Linked DNA regions of Schizosaccharomyces pombe. Each later gene encodes a partner of the first gene's protein in a complex. Each region holds a gene or a part of one and is shown on either strand. Other genes may lie near its edges.

Region 1 (7,699 bases):
AGTCGAGGTATCAATGAAGCAGATACCAAAAGAAGGCTCTTCGTTGTCAGATTGAAGACTTTCTTTAATAGCCATACAATATGTTGACAAGTCAGAAGTCAGCATTGCCTCGTCAACAAGGGTCCCGCTCGTTAAGACTTGGGTAAGGCCTCGCTGAACTACTTTTTCTTCCTTCTGAGTTCGTTGACGATCTTTTATTTCTTTACCTAAAGCGGTTTCCAATTGGTCGACTCGAGCTATACGATACCCCTTTGCAATGAATTGAGATGCCCAGTAATCAAAACTTGCTTCAGGAATTCCAACCATCTTCATATTAACTCTATCAGTTAACTTTAAGGAAAATACCTGATGTCCGATAGCGGCATCATTCTCATATAACTCATAAAATTTTCCCTTCTGAAAAAAAACAACTGTATCCATAAGGTCCTTTTTAATTTTCCAAAATTGTTTCTCAAATGGCTTGAAAGTTGCCCAAGCTGAAGGTGGGATATACAATGTGCGCGGATCATAATTAGGATCACCCACTCGATTTTGATCAGCATCTCGAACATCTAGCAACCACTCGTAACGTTCGTTGTTTTCTTTTTTAAATGCCTCCATTCTTTGCCTTCTTTTTTCTTCTCTGTTCAGGACACCGTTTTTATTCGATTTTGTGGGAGATGCAGAACCCGAGACCGAAGGGCTTGGACTGGCAATTTGAGAGCCTAGCCGATAACTTTCATACAAAGAATTGGAACTCTCCTTTCGAGATTCCTTTTTGGGAATTGGAGCAGCCACAGAAACGGAATGATCTGAATATCCATCAACATCCTCATCCATAGATTCGACTTCATCAATAGGCAAGGATGCCTCAGATGAGGCTTCCGAAATATGATCGGGCTCAACGTAGTCATCCGATTCGTCATCAGAAACGATTCTTTTATGACGAGATCCTTTGGTAGGTGCATCGTCGAAGTCTTCGTCTTCATCACTTTCAGCGTAGGAAACAGGCTAGCATATTGTTAGTCATAATTAATTAAAACAAAAATCTGGTTAATATAGGGGTAAAGTGCGTATTTCCCCTTTTATTCTTCTAAAGTAATATGTATCACTCAATTACCCATACCTTCCTTGAACGCCGAGAAGCTATAAAAGGCTTGTCGACTTCAGATAATTCCGAATTTTCCAGCTTCGACGAGACAGGATGACGAAATTGATCTTCAGCTTGAAATATTGATGTATCCAAACTTTTAAAACTTTTCTTTTTCGTCGGAGAATCGATTTCTTCTTCAGAGTCGGGCTCTTGCTTCACAGACGTGCGAAGCAATTTACCTGGTGACTCCTCGCCCAAAGAATCATGAGGGCGTTTAGGAGATGATCGGTGTAGGCTGCTAGAAAGCGGTGAGGAAAATGGATCACTTGATGGAGGAGGAAGCATAGATGAACTGGAATCTATCTCGGTATTCGCATGATGAGAAGGACTCGTTGGCAATTCGCGTTCCGGAGACGAAGAGTTTTTGTTCACATTGGAGCTGTTGTCAACATCAGCAGGCGTATCATGATTAGAGTCGTGATTCGAACTACTAGATAATGTAGAATCCGACTTCTCTTGTTTCACATTCGGGATTTTGGAGAAAAACCCAAAGAGGGTTTTCTGCTTTGTTTTAGCTGATGAATCTTTTGTTTTCTCCCTTTGCTTGCCAACGTTCCCAACGCTCATACTGGAACAAGTGTTGGTTTTGGCTAAGTTCAGTTATTTACAAAAAGCAGCATTCTAATAGTAAACAAAGCTAACATGAGAGCACAAAATAACATATATAATTTCCATTATTTTTAGTTTTACAAGAAATTAAATTGAAGCTTTATGTATTTACATCTGTAAAAATAGCGTGTTTTTCAAAATCGCATTTAGCTACACCAGCGCTCTTTCCTTCTTTACCGTAATCTATATCCACTACCACCGTCTCACTACACCATACTTTGACCAACACAGTAAGGTGGTAGTATAAAGAACTAGAACGATGGAAGAGTACGAAACAGACATTAAGCAAATTCTCGGTACAGTTGATCGCCAAACTGTATCTGCGAAGCAAGTTCGTCAACTTTTAGAAGAAAGAAGAAAGGTAGATTTGAGTGCGCATAAAAAAGACTTGAATGCGCTGATTTTGAAATGCTTTGATGAAACCGCCGCACCTTCAGAGAAGGAGAGTTTAGGTAAGATGAGAATATTGCTGGAAGAAATTTGCAAATAATAATGCAAGAAATAATAATTAACCAAACTTGTAGAAAAACAAGCACCCGCTCGCAAAACCAAGGGTAAGAGAGCGACGGAAAATGGCACTGAAGAAGGCAAGAAACCAGCAAAGAGAACCCGAAAACGCAAGGAAGATGGAGAAGAGGGTGGAAAACGCAAGAGGAACCAAGATCCTGCCAACAATCCTCTGAATAAGCCTATGAAGTTGTCCCCTAAGTTGGCCGAATTTTTGGGTCTTGAACAGGTAAGGCGGTGTTGTAGTGTGGAAGCCGTGCCTACTCGTTCCATTCAAAATCTTGTTGTTTTGAAAAAAGAGGCAGGCTTACATACTAAATGTTTATTTGCACGCTTTCTCTGCTGATTGCTAACTAACGTAGTTATCTCGTCCCCAAACTGTGAAGAAGTTATGGGAGTATATAAAAGCACATGACTTACAAGATCCCAACGACAAGCGAACAATTCTTTGTGATGACAAATTGAAAAGCGTTTTCGAAGTCGACACTTTGCATATGTTTACCATGAACAAGGTAAGTTAATCATGGATGGGTTCACAATTGTTTTAAGGAGGTTTGTCAACAAACTTTTACTTTGTCGATTGTAACTTTCCTTGTCTACTTTTTTCATTTGGTTACTTGTGGAAAACATTCCGCATTGCTCTTTGTTACCTGCTGCCGAAGCTAAGCTAACTTAATTAATAGTACTTAACAAATCTCATGACGAAGATTCCTGATGATCAATTGCCCAAACCTCAGCCTAAAAATGAAGAACCAGCGGCTCCGAACGATCTTCCCAAGCAGGAGGAAAAAGAGTTGGTCGAGCCTCCTACCGCCGAATCCACCGCTTGAGCCTTTGTGTTTGCTGCATGACCATATAAAACAGCCAAAACTTTTTTTCATATAATATCTTGCAATAATCCCTTTTTTTTTTGTCTCCAAAAATCATTCAAGTTTTTTGCTTTCATTGCATGCAATAAATGTTTATTTCGTTCAATACTCGCTTGCTTACCTGTTTTTCCTCAACAGATTTTGCCTATGTCCATGTCATATCCGTGCTTTAATACTAGAGGCTATGTATGTCTAGAGAGTCTCCACGCATAATCAGATATCGTATTTTGCATTACAACTTTCTGATCTTAAATGCAGTGTGAAAACAAAAGTTCAGGTTGCTGACTTTAGACCTTGGGTTGCTACAAGAGGTAATTTACGTTAGACTGACTGTGATTTTACGAATATTTCTTATCACCTATTCCTTATGGATATCTTTGTGCTTTTTTTTATAAATTCATATAGCATATTGATTTTCTTTTCTAAATGAACTGTTGTGCATGATGGAGATTTTCATGTATTGTATTAACACTTTCTTCACCGCACCTTTAATTATTTTACCGCTGCTTTGCTCTATAATATCATTGAAATAAAAAATGATTCACTTCAGCCCATTGTCGGGGAATTTTGTTTACGAAACCACCGTCGCTTGGAGCTGTCGAAGCCATATCATCAATAATAAATTTTATTTACTACCCTTGCGTATTACAAACCCATAATATGATGTTTGCTTTACAGTTTTGGATGATCTAAGATATGGCTTGGTTGTATGACTAGTACTCGTCTTGTGTCTATAGTGTATATATTAAATTATACGCAAATGGATGTTTTCTGGATATATGCTTTTAAGTCTCAAATAATGTACTGTCTTTTTAATTTGTTTATTATTTTATTTTGGGATTTTCTTTGGGGTTGCAAACCTGTCATCCGTTTGTTAGAGTATGTTTACATAAACATTTTTGTGTGCTTGTGGGTCGTTTTTTTTTTGGAAGATTGCTGCTTATAACCGTCAAAAGACTTATAAATTGATTAGACTGAGTGGAAAGTGTTCTTCTCTTTTATATTAGTCCTTAATGAATATACTTATTATTGATTGAATCATTTCATGGTGTTTACGACTTCTAAAGATCCAATCACACTTTAGATGAAGCCACATTTAACAGTTGTAACAATTGCATTTATTTGTAGACAGGACAACGCTTGCTTACATACATACACGACTTCTTGTTTAAGCACAAAGTAAAAAGATTATGGCGAAAAAGTTAGGGGAATATTTTTTTCAAAACAAATTAGTAAATTATATAAGCCCTTTATAAGAGATTGCTATTTACTTCCGCTGTACATTCAATGCTATATACGTTTCTAACAAAATATTCGATGCACGTTTCAAAAATCAATTCAGAAGCTTAAAAACTTTCCAATAATGTTGAAATTATAAATATATTCTTAGTTTGCGATATTCCAGCTAATTCAGAGGTCTCCAGCTAAACTGTTTTTTTTAGCATACAGCAGCTCGCTTTACGAAATTTTATTTACCCAGCGCCATACACGCAATCTTCTATAAACAATCAAAATGTCGCCTTCGGGCCCCAATTTAAATAATAAGGAGCACAACAGAGCATCGGAAAAAAAGAATTCTAGGACTCATAATAAAAAAACTAATAGGAATCGTACGTAACTTCCTTGTTGACATATTCCTTTTAACACATTTCAAGAAAGTAAAGAGAAACCGGTAAGCTCTAGGTCGGTAGAAACTCCAAAAAATGCAGTTTGCTTAGAGCCGGTTGGCACAGATCCTGTCAGTAATGTCGCTACTGTTGATGCTTCCAAAGAAGAACAGGATGAGGATGAGCAAATTTGCTTCATTTGTGCTGAAGGTATTACTTACAGCTGCGTCCTTCCTTGCAATCATCGTATGTCTTGTATCATGTTTTAAAAATGTTACAACTATGTTTAATCTAACTTAATTAGGAATGTGTCATGTTTGTGCTTTGAGATTGCGAGCGCTATACAAAACGAAGGAATGTACGTTTTGTAAAACCGAATGGGATACGGTTCTCATTACTAAAGATCATGAAATCGATATTCATGATGTCGATTTAGCAAAACTTCCTTTCCAAGATGAGAAACTTGGAATTGTGTATTCTGACGAGCATGCTCAAGAAGAATCCAACCTCTTGCTTCAATTCAACTGTCCAGAAGACGCTTGCGATATCACATGCAAAGGCTGGTTTGATTTAAAGCTGCATGCGAAGGTCAAACACCATAAGTTTTTCTGTGATCTTTGTGTTAAGAACAAAAAGGTTTTTACCCATGAACACACGCTATTTTCCAAGAAAGGATTGACAAAGCACAATGAAGTTGGAGATCAGGGATCCGATTTAGAGATTACTGGATTCAAGGGTCACCCGAAGTGTGAGTTTTGTAATACCCATTTTTATGATGATGATGAGTTGTTTAAGCATTGCCGTGAAAAACATGAACGATGTTACATCTGTGACCAAGTTGCAGGAAGGCCGACGCATCAGTACTTTAAAAATTATGATTCGTTAGAGCGCCACTTTGAAAAAGATCATTATATTTGTCGTGAAAGGGAGTGTTTGGAACGTAAATTTGTTGTTTTTGGAACTGAAATAGATTTGAAAGCGCATCAGTTGGATGAGCATCCCCACAACTTTACTCAACGCGAACTTCGAGAAGCACGAAGAATTATTCCTCAATTTAGTTACGACCCACCCGGCGCGTCCGGCAGGAACCGTCGTGAACGAACTTCTTCCACACCATCCGAACAATCTACTTCAGTGAATGAGACTGCCAACTCACTCTCTAACCTACACCTTTCCCGTGGAGAGATTGCTCACTTACGACAAGAAGAATATGTTCGCGAGCAACAAGCTCGCCATCGTGATTTTGGTTTCACGTTATCAAATCCGGCGCCTACATCTGCCCGCCCAGCGACATCTACTAGAACCATCAGCAGAGGAAAAACTAGAACGTTAAGAAACGAAGATTTCCCCTCTTTAGCCGAGGTTGCTAATCAAAATAGCTCTTCCGCACCCTCAGTACCTGTCTCCGCGCCTCGTCTGTCTGGTAAGTCTGCTTCAAGAAATCATGTTCCATCTCCACCCAAGGGCACTAAATCCCCGATGGCCTCTTCCGAGCAAGCACAACACCAACAAGTAATTGATCGGATGCAAAAATTGACGAATTACGATGATCACAAAATTAATGACTTTAAATTTGCTGTTTCTTCCTTCCGTGGTAATGTTATGCCCGCTCGTGAAGCTGTTGCTCGCATTACAAAATTAGTTGCAAAGCCTCATGAGCAATTGTCGGGCGTGTTCAACCAAATAGCAAATCTTCTAGAAAATAAAGAGAAGTCAAGGGAATTGTTGGAAGCTTGGCAGGAATGGAAAATACTGAATGCGAAAGATGATACTCGTATAGGTACTACTAACTCTAATCTTTTGCGCTTGAAGAGATCAAATAGGACTGCTGCTCAAACAGCTAGTGTTTGGAATCGTATTGAGCGTGCAGCAGCTCACGATGGGCCTTCTTTGTCTGCTCCATCATCTTCTATAAACCTAGCAAATATTACCTCAAGGCCAACGAACAGCTCAGCTGCAAATACTCCTTCTTGGGGTGTGCGCAAAGCACGTGCATCTGCGTTAAATGCAAGATCTGAAGAAGATTTTCCCGCACTTCCTCCTTCTACCTCGAAGAGAATTTCTGTTCAACTCGGAAAAAAGCAGGCTCGTCCCGTTGATTCATGGGGGTCTACACCAAATACTTCTTCCAATCGTAATAGTAATACGATGGGTGTTTCAAAGAAAAAAAACGGAAAAAAGCAAACTGTTTTGTTTCACATTGGTTGATTTTGGTTTATTGTATATAATAATTTTATTGATGGATGGGCATTTCGTTAATATATAATAATTTTGGGATGTACTCATTTATAATCTAGCACTTTATACCTTTTACCTGACTGTTGGGTTGTTTATCTGACCTCATAAAAGAAAGTGTCGTTTTGGAAAAATTAGCATTACATTGAGGGTCCTCCGCTAATGCTCCTGCGAAAAATGATTTTAATTTTGGATGTTTTTTCAGAAATAAAATGAAAATTAGCTTGATATAATATCAACCGGCAGCGAGTAATAGATTTAAAATAAATTTGATTAATTAAAAAAATTTGTTGTTTTAAGCAAGCCATTTTGCTAAAATCAAAGGTAATGGAAGAGTATTTCCGAAAAATCTCAACACATGTGAATGATCAGAAAATTATCGCCATAAAAGACAGAATAAGTCATCAGCGGTTGTTTCATTTCCTATATTTTTTTTTTATTTTTTTATTTTTTAATAAGGGAAAATTTAACGTCTAAGGATACAGAAGATTGTTAGCACATTAAAGTAATAAAGGCTTAAGTAGTAAGTGCCTTAGCATGTTATTGTATTTCAAAGGACATAATCTAAAATAATAACAATATCATTTCTCACAAGTTATTCAATTTTCTTTTTTTTTTCTAATAATATCAAGAATGTATTATTTGTTTGACATAAGTCAACTAATTTATTTAATATGCTGGATTAATCTTGCAGACATGTAAATTAACAAGTTTTAGTCAAATAACGTTGAAGTTTCAAT
Region 2 (14,118 bases), on another chromosome or scaffold:
TTTTGATAAAGATTTGTTTTGATAAATCCGACAAGGTTGTTCTATAATTCTCTAAAAACCTTCCTAATTTCTGCCCCGAGATATTGACATGCACTAAATAGTCCACTTTTTAAGGAGAAATATAAAGCTGTAAAATTAAAAAATTTCGAGTACAAATCAATCATGCAATAAAATACATTATCAACAAAAAAAAGAAAATAAACGAGTTCTTCAACCAATATTGCAGGGTTTTACTTTCCAAACCAATTTCAGAATATTCAGTACTCCACGTATAAAAAAATAAGTGCTACTTGAAATTCTTAACCATTCAATAATAAAGAAGGAAATCTTACCCTTTACAGGAACCAAGTCCTCCAACGTGCATTCCTGTTGAGTAACAGGGTCTTTAGACGTTTCACGAATAACTTGTTCAATCAAGCGCTTCTCGTAAACATTTCCTACATTCAGTCAGACAGGGAAATTATTGTACAAACATACCACTTACACGAGAAATCACCGGTTCTTTTGGCGTTTCTCCACTGATTGAGCAAAACATTCGGCACACGTTGGTTTCTGTGTGTAATAGCTAGAGGAAAGCAATGCATAGCCAACTAATCGTTTACTGCACTATACCAATATCCGTATATAATATAAGGCAAATGCGATGCATTTTGCAAATAATTTTCTAGTTAGTAGTGCAAATGTACGTACAAGGCATAGTAGGGTTTCAGTACCTCTCGTCTTCATAAATCTACTGGACCATTACGAGACTGGATAGAATTGGAGATAATTTACTTAAAATCACTACAGATTCCCATAAATTGTCCCTCTCTTCTAGCTACTCACGAACTGTTGCATCATGGATAATACATCTCTACTAACCCGTGGAGGTGAGATTTACAGCAGGAAGAAAGGGAAGAAGCAAAGATTGGAGGAGATCGTCTTTGATAAAGAGAAGCGAAAGTATGGATATCATAAAGGGATTGCTACTAACTTGTTACAGAGAGTATTTAACTGGATTTCATAAACGCAAAGTTGAACGACGAAAGCATGCTCAAGTTCAATTGGAGCAGCAAAAACGCGAAGAACGTTTAGCGTTGAGGAAATCTGTAAGTTTTTCTAATACTATCTTGAGTATATCACTAACACTATTCAGCTCAGAGAACAGCGCAAAAGAGAACTGGCTGAGCGATTAGCATTCTCTAAAGAGTTGAATAGCTCGCTAGAAAATGATGAAGAATCTTCACAGCAAGAAGATTCCTCATCTAAATCTGACAGCGAGGAAGAGTCATCAATGGAGCCTAAAACTACTGAGTATGACGAAGATGATAAGCATGTTACGGTAGAAATTGTAGAGGACGATGATGATGAAGAAATTGCTTATCCTAAAGAAGGTTTTGTCACGCCTCGTATTTCTCCTCCACCAGATGTTCCTTTGCGTCCCCACAAGCCTAAAAATGCCGCCAAAAAGAAATTTCGGTATGAGAGCAAATTTGAACGTACACAGGACAGAAGAAAAGAAAAAATACGTCGTTTAAAGAAGAAAATAAGACGTTAAATTAGGAACTTCAAGCACACGTTGTTTGACGCATCTTGCCCTTTTTTTATATTTATGAATATGGTTGGTATAAAATGATATTTGAATTCAATTGTCCATTCGTTTTTCAGGTTGAGAATTTTTGGAAGTTAACAAACTACTTTACAAGAGATCATTACATATACGGAGTTTTTCTTGGTCTGATATATGCATTTCAGCCTTTTTCAATTTTTTGTTCACAGTTTTGATTAAGGTGTTTGTACATGCGCAAAAAATTTGTACTCAATAAGCGGTAAGCTAGATTTTAGCACGATTTATATTTTTTTATTATGTTTAAAACCCGTAAATTTTAGAGATACTCTACATTTATATATTCCTTTGGATTTTAGTATATTAGCGAAATTCACTAGAATACCGAGTTTGATCTTTGTCAGAACACAAACCACGTCTGGTAATGTGGTAAACAAAAAAATATTAAAAAGAAGACTGCAACAGCTTTTATTTCATTAGCGTTGATCATGTTCTCAATAATAACATGTCTTCTTCAATAAACGGATTAAATGAGAGTGAAGGGTCAACGCCTTTAAGCACTGCATCTATCATTGGCTCAAGTGAGCAATTGTACATGACTCATGATGAACGATACCTAGACGTCCTTCAACAATACGAAGTTGAGACTGAAAATAAGCGTGACTTTGATTTGGAAGAAGAACAATGGGGCGTTCTTAGTGGCTCTTGTGTGGATGGAACTTACTGGAGTGCAGAAGAAAAAGAACTGTTTTTTCAAGCGGTTGCTCGAAATGGGAAAAGAGATTTAGATTTGATAGCTTACTCCATTCCTTCTAAAAGCGCTGTGCAGATCGAGCGTTACATAAATGCCTTAGAGAATGAGCTACGTTGGCTTCGTAATCACGTAGACGCATCCGTGCGCAGTCAATGTTTGTTGAAATATGAAGATATACCTATTGCAATGGAAATGAGTCAGAATTGGATTGATTGGGAAGAAAAAATTGCGGAAAGACTTCTTGAGGGTTCGAATATCTCAGGGGTTGAAACTTCACACTATAATGCGCAAAGTGTCAAAAACAAAACCTCAAATGAGGATTTATTTGATACAAATGAGATGAGAAAGATTTCTGAACGGTTTTATCATTTCGATCGACAAGCGCCTTTTCCAAGCAATCCACTTTCTGCTGGCGCTACGGAGTTTTTATTACAAATCATTAAAAGCAAGTTGAAGGAATTAATCGGAACATCTATATTTTTGGCGGAGTCTAGGTTTAGGAAACTAGAGGCTAACAATGCCTTTCATAGAAAACCTATTATCAAGAATAGAGACGTTGTTCTGTCAGGCAAATTTTTACGATTTCACCGATTCAATATACCCGGATTTTGGAAGTATTTACCCACTAGACAAAAGATGAATGTTTACAAAAGAAACAAACGTCTCAAATTTCAAAATTATATACACATAATGGAATCTGATGAAAGACAATCAAAACTGAAATTAGGACGAGTCAGAGCACGGAAGACAAAAAATAACGAAAACACCATGTTTTTTGATTCTAAGGAACATTCGACAGATGAAAGCGATGGTAACCTTGGAGAACATGATGTAAAGCGCAAGGTAGATTCTGTACCCGCCGATGAGACTAGCATCAATGGTTTTAAGAAATCTGTTAATCAGGCTGAGTATCCTGATAATGCTCAAATGTTCATGGATGAAAGTGTCGCAGAAGAAAGTCTTGTGGAAATTGATGACAGCGTCGAAGCCTACGACATGATTCAATCCAAAAACTACGAAAGCTTTGTTTGGAAATATGTGCTGCATTTAACCGATGAGATGTCGACAGAGGACGCTCTTTTTGAAACTATACCACTTAGTAATTTGCTGGCTCAAAAGCGAATGAAAGACAAGTTAAAAGGTTCCGACGTGTTTACGACTCTTAAAATAACTTCCAAGAGCTTGCACAACATTGACGAACATTCCGATAGTGATGATGAAGTTCAACCTATATGTTATTATTACAAGGATCCAGTTGTTTCCCATGCCCCGGGTGCAGCTGAAGTCGTATCTGAACTTGAAAGCGGATATGTAGGGTTAATATCCTATGATTTGTCTAATCTTCCAAATAGTACAGAAGATCCTGAAAGGAAACTTGCAAAACCTGTCTCTTCTTGGGAGTTGTCACTCCCTTTAAAATAGATGTCTTCATTTTCGAACTACAGTCTTGAAGCCTTTACAAAAACATAAATTGTTTTTTAGCGCTGCCTCTGTGTTGGATAGCAATCCTTTCTTTTTATCGTCATTTTCTGCCAAGTTTGTTTTTTCCTAGAAAGAAAATTTAATACTTCCTCTTTATAGCAATCAGTTATTGCCATTTATAATGATGAGTCCCAGTGTTCACAATATTCTGAAACTTTTTTTGTTAAAAACTGATTGCTTTCTTCCGTATAATTGTCCCAATATTCGCACCACAACTATAAAAATTTTTTTTAGGAGCCTTTACTTCCTTCTTAAAAGCAATAGTTACTTAATCAATTATAGCGACCCCGCTATTTGAGATACACATTTTATAAATTCTACACTTTTTGGAAACGAGCATTTTCTCTTGTCCCTTTATTTGACGATCCGACCGTTCACGCTACAAACGTCTACAAAATTTTTTTCTCTAGAAAGCATCTCTCCTTCTGTTTACTCCTGTTGCTACCGAAATTTTTTCTTTTTTTTTGTCCTCTGTGTTTTTTGATCAGGAATGTATATATCTTTAACCATTTTTTAGCGGGTTTTTTCTAAAGGTAAAGCTATTTAAGCCAGAAAAACAGTTCATTTTCCTTTTTCCTTCTAATTTCGGCAATTTCCCTTTTCACAAATATCACCATTTTTGAGTGGAAAGAAAAGCCTAGAGAGCGGAAACGCTGCCAAACCCATTAAAATTAATTATCTGTAATATTATAATCGTATTTAATAGCTATTCATAACACCCGTTTCGTCTAAACTCCCGTAATAAACCATGTGACTTTTGGCAATTTTACGCACCATATCGTAGAACACGGCGATAATTTCCATAGTGTTTCGCTAGGCTAGGGCAAGGCAAGCCAAAGACCATAGTGCCATGTGTACGACGCATGCAAATTTTAAGGGATTAGAGTGAACGACTCGCTACTGCCGTTCTCACCGCTCCACTGGGCAATGATGCCAACAACTGCAGTAATAATTATTCCTTAGCCATTTACCAATTGTTTCGAACTTCAATCATAAAATTGGGAATATTTTCATTTACTTGATGGGAAGCTGAGGAATGAAAATAGGTACCCAAAGGAATCGTTGTGAAAATAAAAATCAACAAAGCCAAATTCATGACGCTAGATTGAAGTTCATAACGTTTAGCAGGAAATAAGAAGAGCATATATACGATAAGATGATATTTCGAAAAAGTATTTCCAAATCTCCATCAAGCAAGGGAAGCACAGTATGCTTTCGCTGCGGACAGGCATTTCAACGTAGAGAGACACCTATTTCGTTTGGGGGTCATATGTGGCATAAGGATTGCTTCTGCTGTACGAAGTGCGATAAAGGATTGGAGCACAGTGATCAAATGCTGGTGCAAACCTCTGATGGACGACCGGTGTGTAGCTCTTGCGCCCATACCTGTACAGCGTGTCGTATGAGGATCAAGGACTATGCCCTAATGTCAGGCTACGACTCCTATCACAGAGAGTGTTTTCGTTGCCATGATTGCCGAAAGCAAATAATTGACTCTAACTTTAAAAGAGATAATAGGACTATATTTTGTAATGATTGTAAACAAGTCCGTCACCCTTCCAGGTCTTCAGACGAGAGCGCTGATTATCACAATTTTGAGGTTGATGTCACGATTAAGCCCACAGAGACAAAGTCTTCAGTGGAATCTAATAAGTCTTTAAGCATTGAAATTATGTCTCCTCAAAAGCCACCATTATCACCTTTTGGTGGAAGCAGAGACCGCTTAGTTAGCGAAACACCGACTAACATGAGTCAGGCAGAAGGGGGTAATGTGCCGAACGATGGACAGGATAGTAATCTTGCGTCTAATTCTGCAGATTCGCTGCTGCCTAGTGCCAAAAATCGAAGTTTTTCCTCGTTTACGAGTTTTGAATCGCCGATGAAGTATGACGATTCTTTCTTTCCTATTTCACCTTCTATATCTCCGTTACAAAAAGTTAACAAGCAGCAACAAATTGAGTCTCCTACAGCCACATTTCCGTTAAGCAAAAATACTTGGAAGAATCGATTCCATACGTTTCACAAACAATCTTTTACTCCTGTTAACGATAGCTCTTCCTCGGACAGCTTAAAACCCACAATTAATGAGGAAGCCCTGGACGACTTTGCTGGCTCTGCTTCTCCTTATAAAACCATGTCATTGACTGACCGAGCAGAGCCAATTGTCATGAATGGACATATGCGTTCTCTTCACAATGCCACCTCTCCCTTTCGGCCTTTTTCTCCCTCTTACAGGTCGAGTGATACGCATTCACCGAGAACCCGCTCACCGAATGTCCAAACCCATAAAAAAACCTCTTCTCAGCCATCTGACCTTTCATCTTTTGCGCAGCTACTTTCACCGCCTCAGGTTCTTTCTCCCAAACCAAATGGCGGGGGCCATAAAAGTTTTCGGCATTCGCATTCTCTTTCTGAGACTTCTCAGCAAACACTCGTTCCTTCGCTGGGATCTAATGGAGAGTACCATTTACCGACAAACGATCATTCTTCAACTCCAGCACAATCAGAGCGAGATTCGGATGTTGAAGAATTGCGTGAACAGTTGGAAAATCTTACTGCTCTTACCAAAAAATTGTCCGAAAGGCTCTCAAGTTCTACGTTTGACAACTCTAAGTTTATTCGTACGGAAGATAAGGATACTGTTCGTTCGGCTAAACTTGAAATTTGTGAAAAGTTTTTTTCGTTTGCTGATGTGACAGATGATCCCACGCTGAAAGATCCGAAACATCAGGATTTGGTGGCTGCCGCCAATGCTTACATGGCAATGCTTCGTGAGAGTTACGGCACTGAAATAAACAATCTTTTGGAAAGGAGAAATGAGCTGCTTGACGATTACAATAATGTACAAAAAATTTTAAATGAATCGCTTGAAGCATCTGTACACCTAAATACCAAAAATCTCGAGTTGGCCGACTTAAACAACAATTTGGTAAAACAAATTCAGCATAGAGTACCTCCTGAAAACCAATCCAATTTGGAGCATACTATTACCACATCTTCCAAAAATACAACCAGCAGTATTAATCCACTTACTGCCGTGAGTAGCAACTCTGGGCAGTCATCAGGTCGACCTGGTCCGTTGTCACCAAATTTGAATGTGACTACGAGAATTGACATTAAGGGAAAAAAGGGAAGTATGCATTTGCAACCAAGAGATGTAAACCGTAAAGTCCCGTTCAAATCAATGCATACTAAATCAAAGTCTGCCGATCCTGTAGTAGGAAATGAAGATCGTACTCAATGTGACCATGTGTTTCATGTTAATGCCATATTCAAGCCCTCAAGGTGTTATATATGCTCGGAGAGCGTATGGGGATCTGAACTCCGCTGCTTTCATTGCTCAATTTCATGCCATTCGCGGTGTTTAAAAAGGCTGTTTGCAGAGTCGGAGCATGAGAAAACAATGAGTGAAACTGTAAGTGAAAATAGTAAATGGATGCCGGAAATGCCAACGAGGATGCCTCCTCCTGGGCCTTCACCAACGATGTTTGGACGATCGTTAGAAAATCAATTGAAAATTGAAGGGTCGGTTTTGCCTCAAGTAATTGCTATGTGCGTTTCTTGCGTGGATGCGCATGGATTGGAGGTTGAAGGTATTTATAGGATATCTGGCAGTGCTTCTCAGGTCCGAGTGTTAGTCGACGAATTTGAAAACGGGTCTATCCGAATGGAGCATTTGACTTCTGACTTGTTTGCCTGTACGTCGGTTTTGAAAACATATTTGCATCGCTTACCGGAACCAGTTATACCTGGCACTCAATACGAGGAGTTGTTGGAAGCGGAAAAAATCGAAAAGGAAGAGGAAAAAATTGAACGGGTAGTGGAAGTAATGAAAACGCTTCATCCTGCACATTTGAGCGTATTTCGATTTTTGATTGCACATTTGGGTCGTGTATGCAAGCACGCGGAGAAAAATTTGATGAACTCGAAAAATGTCTCTACAGTATTTGCACCTACTTTAATGCGAGATAAGGTGAATCGGTTTGATTTACAGCATGCTACCAAAAAGAGTACGGCTCTTCAGTTTATGCTTGATAACGTGGATAAGATTCTTCATAATCTGTAGCTTGTTTTATGAATAATGATTAAAATATCGGGGAACTTGTATTTTTCTAGGGAAGAAGGAACTTTACGATAATAATAACCACTTGTGTTCCAAACTTCAATAAGGAATACTTTTCGAAGAAATAATGAGACTTTTTTTACACCTCTTTTTTTTAATGAAAAAAGGAAAACAAAGATATTAGCATAACACTCTTACATTTACGACTGAACTATTCAAACTGGGTAATACAGGATGTACATTATGACAAGCAGGCAAGCACACGCACGCTCATCAGATACAAATAAATACGCACGCAAATGGAGATTGTATAAAGATATTTGCCATTAAGCATTGCGAGATGCAAAATAAGGAAAATATAATGCTAATTTGATAAAAAAAAAAGAAAACAAACTCTTTTTAACGATACTAAACAGAACTCAACTCGATTTGGTTCGAGTATTTCGTTTCTCATAACTTGAACATAAACACAACATAAACAACTCATCAAAGACACATACATACACAAACACTACGGTCGTGCCATCATGTCTCGAAATCTCAAAGAATGGTATGGGGAACATGGTGAGGGATGAATGGCAGTGAACGTGAAAGGGGATGGATGGCATAATTAAATGTAATCTGCAACATTGTCAGTCAGGGTATGACTAATCAAAAAATAAAAATTACAAGGGAGTAAGAAAAAAAAAACAAAAGCAATCAAATAGTACTACCTAAAAGGCTTATATCCCTATCAAGATAAGGATCGTTTTGCTCTTCCTCATCAAGTTGTTCCTCGTTATTGTTTGCATTTTTCTTTTGTGTTCCATTAGCGCTCTTGGAGCGTGATTTCTTTCCTCCAAAGATGCTGCCAAGACCGCCAAGAGACGAGAAATTAACACGGCCAGTATGTTGACTGGAACGGTTGCGAGTAGACTCGGACCTGGAGTCATCGTCGCCGATATCTTCCTGAGTGGCATGGTAGCTGGAGCTCTCCATGTCATCCTCCTCTTCCTGGACCAAAGGTCCGGCCTCTGGATATTCATTCATGTATTCGTTGAATGAATGAACGCCCATCGAAGGATGGCGTTGTCTACCGGAGAAGGAGTGTTTGTCAACATGATGACCATGGGTTTCTTGAGTTTGATCACTAGAAGTAAAACGATTTGCCATTGCGGTGGATTTGAAGAAATTCGATTAGTCAATTAGTATTGGATGAAATTCAATTTCAAATTGATTTGGATTTGGATTGGATTGGACTGTCAATAACAATTTTCAACTCAATTGGTTATTGTTTGTTTTGTTATTGTTGTTGTTAGATTGTCAGTGGGTGGGTAATTTAGCTTGACTCGCTGATGATCAATAAGGGTGGATATGAATACGATTCGGTATTTGTTATTACGAAGGATGAAATATATATGTACTGTATTTTGGGAATGGAATTTTCACTCTTAGTGCCCAACCTTCTATTTATCTCCTTGCTGTGGCCAAATGTCATACGTATTGGGTTGCTACATTGAATGTAAGTGTGCCTTACTCGTCCTTTCACCCGCAACTCCATTGTTATCCAGCATCGTCATCCACTGCAATCGTGGCGCCAACCTCTTCACTTCCACCACCCATATAGCATATTTCCGTGAGTGTGTACCTCGGCGAGATCCGTTAAGTGGGTTTACGAAACAGGCCAAGAGGAGGAGGAGGGTTTGGTGATAATGCAATGGAGCACACAAGTAAGCAGGACGAAGTATGATTGATGGATGGATGAAGGAAAAGAAGAGAAAATGGCAGGTTGGTTTAGAAGAGGCTGTTCATCCCGTGGTATCGCAGTCTCAAGTATGGCACGGAAAACAAGCGTCGTTTTAATTGTCCAGGAGAAAAACAAAAAGGAAACAAGACTTTAGAGGGTCAGTCTTTTTTTTATGTCTTTTCTATTTTTGCTTTATGTTGTTGTTTTATATTCTTTCTTTCTTTTTTCTGCCTTCTTGACAATTAATTGATTTCCGCGGCAAGCTTAGTCAGTCTATAATACGGTGTTGTGCATCAGAGATGTTATGGCATTGCGTCATGATCGACACCCTTCCTAATCCCTTTTTTCTCCGCCTTCGCTTCCCCACACTTGGAGTCACAAGGCTGAGTCGATGCTACCTGAAAAGATGGGGTAATGGCATGACGAAAAAGACTGCAGGAAGAGAGGGGTGGGTGAAAGAAAGGGATTCAAACGAGACATCAATAATGGATGGAAGAAATAAAAACATAAAAGAAAAAAGAAAAAAAAAAGAAAGAAAAAGTTAAAGAAGATGAAAATTTTTGTTTGTTTGTCTCAGAACTAAAGTTTTTTTTGCTCAATTTTCTGTTCAATTTCTTTGATTCGCATTTTGTTTTGTTCCACTTTTTCTTTTTTTTTTGTCTTTGTTCCACCATTGGTTTTCTTTATCCATCTCTGTCCATTGTTGGTAATCTTGCTTTATGATTATAGGAGTCCTTTGTTTTCTCTCTCTCTTTTTTTTTTTATTTCTTTGTATGAATTGCCTTTTTTTTGACTAGCGTTCTTTGTCATACATGTCATCTTGAAATAGATGGTTTTGATTGTTTCTTGTTTTCAATAACTTTTTTTTTTTTTTTTCTGCTCTCTTTCTCTTTTCATTTTTTTTTTGGTCAGCGTGAGATACTGGCTTTCATTGAGCTACAATAAATAGTTTTGACTTTTTATTTCTATTTCTATTTCTTCTTTATTTTCCTGCTGTCTTTCTCTTCTCGCATACACAAAAGAGACTCAAACATACACACACACATACTCGGAGAGTTTCTCTCTCTCTCTCTCTCTTTTTTTTAGAGTTTCCTTTTTGCTCACTTGTTTTTCTTTGATCGTCGTTCTTTACGACATCTTTGTATTATAACGAAAATAACCTTTATTTGGACTTTCTTTTTATTCACTGTGGATGAGCTCACTGTGTTGTTCCATGCACAAATTTGTCACTTTCCATGTGAATTTTTCGTGGGGTTGTTGTAAACATTCATGAATTCCTTCGTTTGCTTTTTTTTTAAACAATTTTTAATTTTTATTTACTGTTTCTAATGCTGACATTTATTTGCCTTTTTTATTTCATTGCAAAACATTATATATGTATTCATAGTAAAAACTGAAGTGAAAGTCTATTACAGTCATTTAAATAGATTAGCTCATCTGTATTAAAATTAATAAAAGCATTGCAATTTATATTATAAAGTATGCTTAAAGCATTGTCTCGTGAGAAAGTCCAGTAGGAATTACTTAATTGAGCAGCGCCTTTTCTACTTTACTTTGTATACTATATGTTATTGTTTTACAGTTATCAAAACTTGCTTTTCCTTTCCTGAAATAACTGAGGTCAGTAAATTTAATGCTTCCAAACATCTTCCTTTGTATCCTCTTTTCAGTACATTCATTTATGAAGAAAGTTGTAATTACTGCAGTAAAAGGTGTTTCCCAAATTACAATTCCCACACTCGTGCTTTATTTTGCTAATTCACTTAGCACTCATACTTAGAAATCGTTATTTTGAAAGTACCATTGTAGAACTTAATAACACCACTATAATGGACTATCTAAACGTTGTGTAATTTTTACATTCGTTCGTCCTATGTTCAGTAAAAAATCTTTGCATCATTGACTTGGAAAATGAAAAGCTCATCCATGCTTCTCTTCCCTTTCTCATAGACTCTTGTTTGCCCTTTCCATTATTTTTAAATGTTTATTTATTAAATAGTGATCACTAGTGAATGTCAATAATAAGGAGTTGCATGATTTTCATCCCTATATTGTTTCCAGTAACGATGGATTGATTGTATACTGCAGGTGCAGGATCTTTGATGATAAGAAGAAACTGGATCTGCATGAGTGCAAAAATTTTTCTCTGCTTAGTCCTTCATTTGACCATACACACGATTCATATTTAATATTTAACCACCTCTTGTCGTTCATTTTGCATTTTCTTTTCTACGATACCTTTTCTCGTATTTTACAAATTATCATCCAAATACCAGGCGGTTAAAAACCGTTTTCTCAACCTTTTGATGCTGTATAGACATACCAAAAAATAGCGTTCCATCATTTTTTATTCTTGTCGCACCGTTTCGTTGAGTTGTAGGCTCGATAATTACTGAGAGAATCGGGTTTAAAAGTTTACTTTCACAACTTCCTAAACTCCTCTTTTCTTCTCTTTTTTTGAATACTAAAAAGCGTTTTATATACTAGATATGCACACACATTTCGCAAAAGTAAACACCCAGGGATAGCTTTTTTTTCTATTCTCCAAAACACTTAGATCCAACCTTACTACTACTGATTATAGTTGGTGGTTTTTTGTTTTCACTTTCTAATTTCATTACAATCATGACTGATTCGCAAACGGAAACACACTTGTCGCTAATTCTTTCAGACACTGCGTTTCCTCTGTCATCTTTTTCTTATTCGTATGGGTTAGAGTCGTATTTGTCTCATCAGCAGGTGAGAGACGTCAATGCATTTTTCAACTTTTTACCATTGTCCCTCAATTCAGTGCTACATACCAATTTGCCAACTGTCAAAGCAGCTTGGGAGTCACCGCAACAATATTCCGAAATCGAAGACTTTTTTGAAAGCACACAGACATGCACAATTGCCCAAAAGGTCTCCACCATGCAGGGTAAATCTTTGTTAAATATTTGGACAAAATCACTCTCCTTTTTCGTTACATCAACCGATGTCTTCAAATACTTGGATGAGTACGAAAGAAGAGTTCGTAGTAAAAAGGCACTCGGTCATTTCCCAGTGGTTTGGGGTGTGGTATGTAGAGCCTTGGGATTATCGTTAGAAAGGACATGTTATCTGTTCTTATTGGGGCATGCAAAATCGATTTGCTCAGCAGCTGTTCGCTTAGATGTTTTGACCTCCTTCCAGTACGTTTCCACTTTGGCTCATCCTCAAACCGAAAGTTTACTTAGAGATTCGTCGCAACTAGCTTTGAACATGCAACTAGAGGACACTGCTCAGTCATGGTATACGCTGGACCTTTGGCAGGGTAGACACAGTTTGTTATATAGTAGAATATTTAATAGTTAACAATCATCAAAACTGGAAAATACGATTGCCATGTAGCGATTTACATCTGAAACCATTTGTAGAGATTGAAAAAATTGCTCTTGGAAGGGTGCTTCGAATACGTTTTCGGAAATTTTAGTAAACGTCGTCAAAATTTTTGCCAAACGAATACCTTCCTGAGGTATGCTAGGTAAATAAGTCAACATGTGTTCATTCAAAGCGATCAGCTCATTCTTCATAACGATCGATGCATCCATTTGGGTTGCAAAATCCTCTAGTTCCAAAACACGATATAGCAAATTTCCTGTAACTATGTACTGTTTCGGGATTTCAGCTAACAGTACCTCTTTGTTTCCGTCGATAGAAAACTGATAGTTGTTTACAAATACTTCGACCACACGAGTCGTCAATGCTTCAATCAATTTGCGGTCCACTATATCCGTCGGCGATACCCTAGTTCGAAGTGTTAGCACTAAAAAATTAAGATGAAAGATAAAACACATATATATTAACGCCAATCGGATTCAAACATTTACCGCCAACGCACTATCAACACATACTCTTCAAAAGTCAAAGTAACAGCTAATTGTACTTGTTGAATCAACTCATCAAGTTGGTTATTCAACAAGATATACGCAATTCCCGTAAAAACAGCCGGGTCTTCATCGGATCCCGATGGTCGTAGCGTATTAGAAGGATCAAATTCCTTGACCATCTGTTCTTTAAAAGCTTCCCGTCCCAATACCGTAAGGGCAAGTTTACAGAGTAGGTTACACTGTGCCAAAACTGCTAAGGTCGTGAACATTCGAACCAAGCTCATGAATTTTAGTTGATTCCAAAGTAGTATTTTTTCCTCAGCACTCACTTCCGACATCCTTGTTTCTCGTAACTCTTGAATAATCGGAAGTAAAGGGATCCTCCGAATTATCTCATCCTTCAATATATGAAATGTGGAAATTGCGCTCGTAGCGCCATTAGACTGAACAGTATTGAAGGCTTCAACATATCTTATTTAAGTGCATCTAATTAGCTTCAATTCCGTTAAGTAATAGAAGACACTTACTTGGACTTGGAATTTCGTGTTTCCATAAATTCCATAAAAGCATTCCTTATACATGTATCCGCGCAATAAAATCCCAGAACTGGAATAGAGCTACCCAAAATGAAGTTACAGCATTTTCTTGATACAGCGTTCAAATGTTTTTCAAACGATTTTAGCATTTCTATTCGCCTGA

What was found.
Region 2: spp27 (region 1) and rrn5 share a complex: the UniProt entries of both Schizosaccharomyces pombe proteins name them as parts of the UAF (upstream activation factor) complex.

Annotation. Positions count from the first base shown.
Region 1 is NC_003421.2:1,829,983-1,837,681, forward strand, and holds spp27 (RNA polymerase I upstream activation factor complex subunit Spp27), read left to right. Parts: upstream 1-2,000; coding exon 2,001-2,193; exon of another isoform or gene 2,194-2,265; coding exon 2,266-2,477; exon of another isoform or gene 2,478-2,610; coding exon 2,611-2,760; exon of another isoform or gene 2,761-2,814; intron 2,815-2,931; coding exon 2,932-3,078; 3' UTR 3,079-4,187; downstream 4,188-7,699. Other genes in the region: msh6 (DNA mismatch repair protein), read right to left, coding at 1-990, 1,106-1,699; hel2 (ubiquitin-protein ligase E3), read left to right, coding at 4,631-4,727, 4,773-4,970, 5,029-6,932. UniProt on the Schizosaccharomyces pombe protein: Component of the UAF (upstream activation factor) complex which interacts with the upstream element of the RNA polymerase I promoter and forms a stable preinitiation complex. UAF seems to stimulate basal transcription to a fully activated level.
Region 2 is NC_003424.3:5,119,659-5,133,776, reverse strand, and holds rrn5 (RNA polymerase I upstream activation factor complex subunit Rrn5), read left to right. Parts: upstream 1-1,945; 5' UTR 1,946-2,051; coding exon 2,052-3,722; 3' UTR 3,723-4,513; downstream 4,514-14,118. Other genes in the region: Prp19 complex subunit, ubiquitin-protein ligase E4 Prp19, read right to left, coding at 333-437, 478-535; rRNA exonuclease Rrp17, read left to right, coding at 839-942, 983-1,088, 1,136-1,537; Rho-type GTPase-activating protein Rga3, read left to right, coding at 4,939-7,848; protein mug108, read right to left, coding at 8,545-8,997; SPOM_SPAC29A4.22 (uncharacterized protein), read right to left, coding at 9,164-9,385; urease accessory protein ure6, read left to right, coding at 12,197-12,904; pex3 (peroxin-3 peroxisome import protein), read right to left, coding at 12,901-13,336, 13,444-13,890, 13,947-14,104. UniProt on the Schizosaccharomyces pombe protein: Component of the UAF (upstream activation factor) complex which interacts with the upstream element of the RNA polymerase I promoter and forms a stable preinitiation complex. UAF seems to stimulate basal transcription to a fully activated level.